Oryzias latipes: one gene and its partner. The protein of the gene in region 1 interacts with the protein of each later gene in a pairwise test. Links are inferred from orthologs where the notes say so. Each region holds a gene or a part of one and is shown on either strand. Other genes may lie near its edges.

What was found.
Region 2: the proteins of pih1d2 (region 1) and igf2bp3 interact in a two-hybrid assay, tested with the Homo sapiens proteins (2 studies listed by BioGRID and IntAct). The two-hybrid records come from large-scale screens. The link is inferred for Oryzias latipes from reciprocal best matches to the Homo sapiens genes PIH1D2 and IGF2BP3.

What each region holds. Positions count from the first base shown.
Region 1 is NC_019871.2:11,415,992-11,420,446, reverse strand, and holds the start of pih1d2 (PIH1 domain-containing protein 2), read left to right. Parts: upstream 1-1,653; 5' UTR 1,654-1,714; exon of another isoform or gene 1,715-1,865; 5' UTR 1,866-1,889; coding exon 1,890-2,066; exon of another isoform or gene 2,067-2,081; intron 2,082-3,656; coding exon 3,657-3,783; intron 3,784-3,850; coding exon 3,851-4,087; intron 4,088-4,211; coding exon 4,212-4,455. Other genes in the region: tmprss5 (transmembrane protease serine 5), read left to right, coding at 1-22, 155-339, 430-528, 619-761, 843-995, 1,391-1,399.
Region 2 is NC_019869.2:10,805,880-10,809,698, reverse strand, and holds part of igf2bp3 (insulin-like growth factor 2 mRNA-binding protein 3), read right to left. Parts: intron 3,789-3,819; coding exon 3,720-3,788; intron 2,271-3,719; coding exon 2,148-2,270; intron 2,022-2,147; coding exon 1,947-2,021; intron 1,774-1,946; coding exon 1,642-1,773; intron 1,555-1,641; coding exon 1,441-1,554; intron 190-1,440; coding exon 79-189; 3' UTR 1-78. UniProt on the Homo sapiens protein: RNA-binding factor that may recruit target transcripts to cytoplasmic protein-RNA complexes (mRNPs). This transcript 'caging' into mRNPs allows mRNA transport and transient storage.

The DNA of each region.
Region 1 (4,455 bases):
CAGCTGCCCACTGTGTGCACAAGTAAGACTGCCGACCTCTCCAGCATTATAGGTCAGAGATCCAGGGCTTCAATCAGTCATTAACAGCTGTGCAACGCTGGAAACGTTCCCTCTTATCACTGTCTGCCTTCTGTTTTCTTTCTGCAAATGTCAGCTACAGGCTACCTCAGGTGTCCAGCTGGGTGGTCTATGCGGGCATCGTGACCCGCAGCTCGGCTAAAATGGTTCAACACACGGGACACGCAGTGGAGAAGATCATCTACAACAAGAACTACAACCACAGGACCCATGACAGCGATATAGCGCTGATAAAGCTGCGGACACCGCTCAACTTCACAGGTTAACCTGACAGGAAAAAAAGGGTTTCTTCACTCGAAACATTGAAATGAATTCCTGTCAGACTGGTTTATTGCTTTTAATCCTGACTAGACACAATCAGGCCCATCTGCCTACCTCAGTATAAGTATGATCTGCCAGGTGGAACACAATGCTGGATTTCTGGATGGGGATACACAAAGCCTGATGATGGTGAGACAGTGCTGCCCCAGGTCTCAATTCCAATAAGGTAACAGGAGAGTGACAAATGCATCAGCCTTTAACGTCTCCTTCTCTTCTCAGTTCAGTCACCTGACACCCTGAAAGAAGCGCCGGTGCCTTTGATAAGCACTAAGAAGTGCAACAGCTCCTGCATGTACAATGGAGAGATCACGCCGCGGATGCTTTGTGCGGGATACACAGAAGGAAAGGTGGATGCGTGTCAGGTCAGATGGCTGTTTGCATGTTTGCATTCTGTCTTGATTCCTTACAGTTTTGCTGATGGGTTTGTGTGTTTACTTCTGTAGGGAGACAGCGGGGGTCCTCTGGTTTGCCAGGAAGATACTGTATGGAGGCTGGTCGGGGTTGTCAGCTGGGGTACGGGATGCGCTGAGCCAAACCATCCGGGGGTTTACACCAAGGTGGCTGAATTCCTGAGCTGGATTTATGAGATGATTGAGGTAAAGGCTTTTTCTTTAACCTGATAATGGAATAATATTTATATGTAACCTATATTTTTACCACACTTCCAATGCAAATGCAAATCAGCTGATTAATAACTCCAAAATCATTGATTATTGCACGGTAAACTGATCAAAACTAGCTCTCCATTGATGAGTCTAGCTGCACAATCATGCTTTTTCCATGTCAGTTTATTTCTGTAAGTATTTTATCAATTGAATAATGACCTAAAAATGATAACTCTACATCGCTTTGTTAATCTGTAATTACAGTCCTCGTGCACAGCCATTATCATTCCTTTTATATCATCAGCACAAAGGAGGAAAAAAAACTGCTCAATGAAGCGTAATTGAAGTTTACACTGATTGCTAATGATCACTCTCTCTCTCAACAGAATTACTGAGAAAGGAGCAAGACATGAGAGCAAAGGAAGGCCACCGATATTTTATCAGAAACATATGCTTATATAATATATTTTTATGCTTTAAATGTCATTGATATATTGTTTAATAAGACAGTGTGGAAATAAGAGCATTTTTTGTCATATTTTTCACGTTTTGACTACATTAAAGCCTCTTGAACACAGCCTTGTCTGATTTTTACCCTGCAGTTACACGTTTTATCGCTAGGTGGCAATAATGTTCAACAAATCGAGTTTCCATGGCAACTGGAAGCCAAACTACTTTACCTATTGCCTGAATGTCGATATTTGTCAAAGGTTTGATTTAATTTCTTTTCATCTGTAAAGAAATATAATATTGCTTCGTTTGTGTTAGATTTATAATAATTTTTGTTTTCTAAAGCCATAAGTTATTTACTTTAGAGACGAACGAAGGACTTATTTGCTTTCTCTAAACTTGCTAACCTAGCTAGCGGCAAACAAACCTGTCAGGATGACTTCCGGTTGCAATACCGAAGTTTTAGGACAGATCAAACAGTTTTGGTCCATGCTTGACGACCTAAGTGAGAATGACCCTGCAGCTTACCGTAAACTTACCGAAGATTTGAAGACAGGAGGTAAACAGAGGCTGCAACCAGTGCTCCACTCCACTGTGTGCACCCAAATACTGGTAAGTCTAGTGACACGTGCTAAACAGATTAACTAGTTACTTTAAGCATGCATACGCAAGTTTTTTCAAAATAAAACAAAGAGTCTCATTGACAGAACACATCTGACTGATAGATGTTGCAAACTGATGAGTTATTCAATTTTTATGCAATAAACATTGTTCCATTTCAGTAGATATTGATGACTAACAGAGAAGAATGCACAAAAAATAACTCATTACAAAAACAATTAATACTAAAGTAGAAGTAAAATGAGATGCTACACTCCACAATGGAGTATTATTTATACCAAACAAAGTGACTGATCATGTAACGATTAAATTACAGTAACAATACTCTGTGTAGAATTAAGTCAGAGTTTATGTAAAAGTAAGTTTTTGTACTTAGAAATAAACTAACGAGAACACACACATCTATCACATTTACAGCACTGGTCACATATGAACTCATTGGATTTTATTGTTACTATTTTTTCTTTATTATCAAACTTATTTTAGTATTTGTGACTTATTATTTGTCTTTTTCTCCTATGTATGCTCTATATTTGTGAGTTACACTAGGTGGAGACTTTAAATAAGCCTTTTATGTTTTTTTTTGTCTCTCCCTGCACTGCATTTAATTGTATTTTAATGTTTTTCTTGCCGTGTTTTAAATGTGCCAAAGCAAGAAACTAAAAACTAAATTACCACAATTCAAATCAAAGAAACACCTTTTTATTTACTGTCTCTCCGAGGAGAGATAATCTATGATATCTTTTTTTGAAATAATATGGTACAAATAATTAAATAATGTGAAGAATGGCCCAGTACAGCTTAGTTAAAAGTAAAAAGACTCAATCATAGATAAATAAAAATGAGAAAAGAGAGGGGTGCAACCTACCTATTCTTTGAGGTATGAAACTAAATAAATGTAACTGCTTCTTCTTATTTTTTTTATTGTTTAAAATAAAAAATTAAACATGTTAAGCTCTGCTTATAAAGGTTAAATAAAGAATATGTTCTAGAGCAAAGTTTGTTTGAATAATTAACATCTTTATGGCTGTTAAGGAAAAAAAATCACTTGTGTTTTTGCTATGAAGTAAATAAGGTAATTTTGGAGCCAAACTGGTTTGCATATGTACATCAAAGGACGTCAAGGGGTTTTATAATAATAATAATAGTAATAGTAATAATAATAAATCAGTTTTATGATATGTTATATTGCAGCATGTGCTTACATTTATTTCTTTGTCTTTTCGGTAGCTCCTTCTTGGGGTTGCCATTGCAAATCAACCGTCCTTCATTTTAACTGTATCCTCACTATTCTCCTCATGTGCTCACTTCAACTGTAGCAACAAAACTGAATCTAATAAAAAATGTCTACTTTTAGAGAAATCTACAGATTTTCTGCACCTCTGGAGTCTTCAATAAAGTTTTTTGAAACTATTGTTGGGTTGACAAAGTGCCCAGCTGTTTCATCTTTCTTTGGTGCTTATTAGAATACCTTTCATGATTTTTTTTTTTTCTGTAAACCTGTCAGGCTGTGTCAATTTATAGCAATGACACATGGTGTGTTGTGACAGTTTCTGAACAGTACAGCTGTGTGCCTCTCAGGAACCACAAACAGGCTTGCTGTACATTAACATATGCAGCTGGGAAACTGTGCCTGAGCATCAGGATCTGAACGGTCCACTCCCAATGTGTGCAGGAAGACTGGAAACGGGGACAAAAGAAGGTCAAGGTGAGCCACAGACCGTTTCTTTGTGTTGCACCAGCCAAAACGAGACGCTCCCATTGTTCCTCTGCAGGCTGGTATGCTGTCCTGGATGTGGCATTTAATCCTGCAGCACTACGGGGGACGAAGGATGTACCAGACATTAACAAGGTGTACACTGTGGCCCTGAGCTTTGCCCAGCAGCGGCATGGAATGCGGTTATCTCAGGAGTACACTGTTGTCAGCTGCAGCCCCAAGAGTCGCTCAGATGATTTGCACCGTCGACTGGGGTTACGAATGCAGTCCAACCTCCCCAAACAGCCAGAAACAGGTAAAAGAGAGAAGCTTTTAGCAGTGCTAAGCCCCTAAGGCCTTTTATGTTGTACCCAATGTGTCTTTCCTGTGAAGGTGCATGATCTGTCACCTCTCAGCAGTTTCTCTTTTTTTTTTTTCAGCCTGCCAAAATCCAGCTGCCCTTCTTAAGCAGATCTACTCTCTCCAATCAGAGAAGCGTGACGAGAACTCCACAACCCAAATTCCTTTCGGATATGAGGAGTGCAAAAAAAAGGATCTGATCCAAGTAGTTTCCTCCACTATTGTGGAGCCTGAGAGGCCCGAGTACCACCTCGGGGTGAAGAGTGATGCAGCAGGAGTTCCCCGCAGCGTGGAGCTGACTGTGGAGCTGCCAAAGGTGCGCTC
Region 2 (3,819 bases), on another chromosome or scaffold:
CCCCTTACACTCTTCTGCATCCGGCCGTCTTTTGAGTCTTCTGACAGACCGAGTCGCCATTTCTCTGAAACCAGCAGATCATTTCCTACGAGGCATGGGAGGCTGGCCTCCAGGCTGGGGTTTTAACTGCTGCTGCTGCTGCTGCCTCCTCACCTGGGCCAGGATTTCCTGAATCTTCCTCTGGGCAAGCTGAACCACAAAAAAAAAAAAAAGGTTAGGCACAGTTTTAATCAAACACCTAAAAGCATGTCTTTTTTTAAAGACTGCTCATCGGAATTCGCTTTTGGGTTGTGGGCGGGTCTGTTGGTGAAGAAACTCTGCAGTGATATATCCCAGAATGCTTTTGTTTACACTTAGCTCATCACCACACCAAGGTAACATTAGCATAACAAAAAAGGGTGAAAATTTCAGAGCCATCCAGCCGTACAGTTTTGAGCCAGATAGTAGAAAATGAAGACTTGCATGAATATAATCGTCTTCAAGTGGAAAACTAAAAAAAACATGGCTTTTCATTTGCACCCGCCTGATCATTACGATTTGAATTAAGAAAATCAGAAAGTTTTTTTTTTTAAATATCCTCCGTGAGAAAAATGCAATAGGAAAATATCAACAGAAAAACGCCATTTCCATTTGAGTGGGTCTTGAAATGGATTTTTCCTTTTTCATTTGTTTTTTGGTTTCAATTCAAGCGAAAACATTAAGGATGTTTTAACACTGAGCACTCATTCCACACCAGAATGTGTTAACCCAAATATCTAATTTGTTTTAAATCTCTGCTGACATTACACTGTAGTACTACTTAAGATGAACCTATAGGGGCGTCTTATTTTGAAAGGAAGTAATGTGAACCTCTGTCAAGTTATTGATAAACCACTTCAAATAATAATAAATAAATAAAAAACGACAATTTTCTCCATTTTTAGTGTCTTATTTGTCTATAGGGTGAAGTCAGACTTTGTGGCTCCTACTGGGTTGTGGTCAGTGAGAACTTAACCAGAATGGCTCCTTAAGTATTGAAGGTTGCAGACCCCTGCTGTAAAGCAAAGTGACATTTAAGCTGTTGATTACAGGTGCAGAAATAGAGGCCAACAAATCTGAGGAACCATGAACCACAAAGTTTGGAAAATAGCTGGGTGGTGAGCATGATGTGACGAGTTGCAGGCGATTATCAGTAAATGGCAGCTTAAACTGTTCAGTTTTTTGGAAAGGGCTCAATTTAAGGAATACCAACCGCAAACTAGTAGTCGTTATAACGTTGAGGATTTCAGGGAGTTTAGTTCATTCAAATAAGAGACGATCAATTTCATTTTTTGTGCACATTTAAACAGTCAACTACCTAAATGCGAAAGCATGATGTCTGACAAAATGTGTCCCACTTATTAAACATTTTTTATTCAAAATAAGATGAACCCGTTTGTAAGCTTTGATTTAATGACACACCTGACATGCAAAGAAGTGCCCACTGATCTTTACGATGACCTGGTCGTTCTCGTCAGGCGTCTGGTCCCTGGGCACCACCACTTCTGCACATGTCAAGTTCTGCAGCTCATTGACCTGTAACAAAGAGCAATTTATCCTCTGAAAAAGTCTCAGGATTTGTAGATTTACCAGGGGGGTTTGCAGAATCAGTCCTTTCATTACCGTCTTTCCACCTTTTCCAATGACTCTTCCGGCAGCAAAAGAAGGAACCTTGATGTGGGCCTCCAGCTTTACCTCTTCTTTGGGTCCAAAGAAATTCTCTTCCTTCAATTTTCCAAAGATGCGACACTGGGCCTATAAAGATTTGACCATTGTTGCCTTTTAGACATAGAACACTTCAGTTTTGTGACCATCCCCGTTTCAGGAGAATCCCAATTTTTTTCTTTGCCATTTAAAAAAGAAAGAAAAAAAAAGCTCTAATATGATCAAATTTTTATTTTAAAAAGGTGAACATGAAGCTTCAGAACCTTAAATTGAGCTTCTGGTGGTCCAACGATAATGACCATCCTCTGCTTGGCATCCATTCCTTCTGCAGGAGCAATCTGAAAGCAGGAAAAGCACATCAGTAAAGAGCTGCTCCAACCAAACCTTTTAAGTCCTCCCCCCTAACCAGACAAGAGGCAGGTGGAGTAATCCCATCCCTCCTTCACCATCTGTCAGGTACTCACCTTGATGGAGGCTCCTGCAAAGTGAGACAGCTGTTTAATGTGTTGACCCTGTTTGCCAATGATGGCTCCCACTGCAAGCGCAGGAATGAACAGGTGAACCGTCTCCGACTCCGGCTGTCCCTGCTGGGTACAAAACACTGCATTACTGCCCCAACCAGATGACAGCTGCACAGTGGTAGCAGACCATCTACTCCGCTCCAGCACTGGTGTGTCAACAAAACAGCAAATTGAGTAAAAGCTGCTCGCTTCCTAAAACTTCATTGATTAATTACCCCCTCATGTGAGTATGAAGGAAGTGATCATTTCATTTCTGAAGCAAAGGTTTGTGTTAATGCATTCTAAAAAGAGATGCATTGATTATGTTGCATGCAATTTATAATGGAATTTCAATGACTCAATAAAGACAAAATACAATTGTGCGTCATTACAAAACTGAAGCTTGCCGTTGCAAAGACCCACTCCGGTGCATTTCTGAGTATTAAAATTCTTCTGAATCAAGAGTAGACAAAGAATTAAAAAAAAAAGCCATTTGAAAGTTTGTAGGCGTGACGTAGAACCCCACCCCCCCCCCAAGCTCCCTGCTGTGCTCCATTCTGATGTATCAGCTTGCAGACAAATAGATCCATGGACACCTTTGTTTTCCTTGTCTGAGCTGGAATCTGGATCAAAACTGTACAGCTGGATAGCTGCAATATTGATTACCATTTTTGTTACACTGGTAGTGTTAACAAGGCTGTGAGGGGCTGTAAGCTAGCCGGAGAGAGTGTAGACAAAGGAATGATGAAAAAGGGGGAAAGCTTACTCAGCGGCAACAGTCCCGCCCACAAGTCAGAGGCTAATTTGTAGTGAAATACCACTGCTCTCAGACAACAGGGTTTCAGATTTTTGCTTAAAACCATATAATCATAATTTAAAGACCACTGGTAGCACTTTAAAATAGATTTTTTGAAATGACAGGAGTGGGACTTTACAGGGTTAAAATCTCTAATAAAATGAGCAAATGAAATAAATGCATAAAAATACAACACCCGATAAAAAAAAAATAAGAGCTGCAGAAGCACAGACATCCAGAAATTTACAATTTATCCACTTTTCAGCAAAACAGCCTTGAAGAATAAAATAAAATTAAAAAAGTCCTCAACTCCAAAGATTTTTAACCTAAAATTGTTCAATTTTGCTTTTTTTCCTGGTAAAACATCTGTCTGGCTTTCGTAAAAACTCAGTAAACAACTAAAGAGATTTTCCCCATTTAACTTTGCGTGGTCACCACCAACACCCATGGGTCAAGCAGATCAAATACAGAAAAGCTTTATGAATTATTCCATACTGCAGAAGTAAGGCATGCTGTTAGGCAAAAGGTAATATCAGGGTTTTTCCAATGCCACCAATTACTGCTCTGCAAGAAGCTGTGGGACAAAATAATGTTAGAGTGACCAATTAAAAGACTAAGAGCTCTAAAAAAGCTTTAGGAGCAAAAAAAATAAAGAAAATCCAGAAAAAGGAGGGCTTTTGCAGCAGATCCTGCAGCAGCAGACTTGAGCCGTGCAAAGCACTTTGGGACAGGTGACTTACAGCGAGGGGCTGGCTGCTCGCCGAAAGCATAGAAGCCCAAAATGGCCCCTCAGTCGCATAAAGACTGCACTAGAAGGAAAAGGAAACATGAAACGGAGTC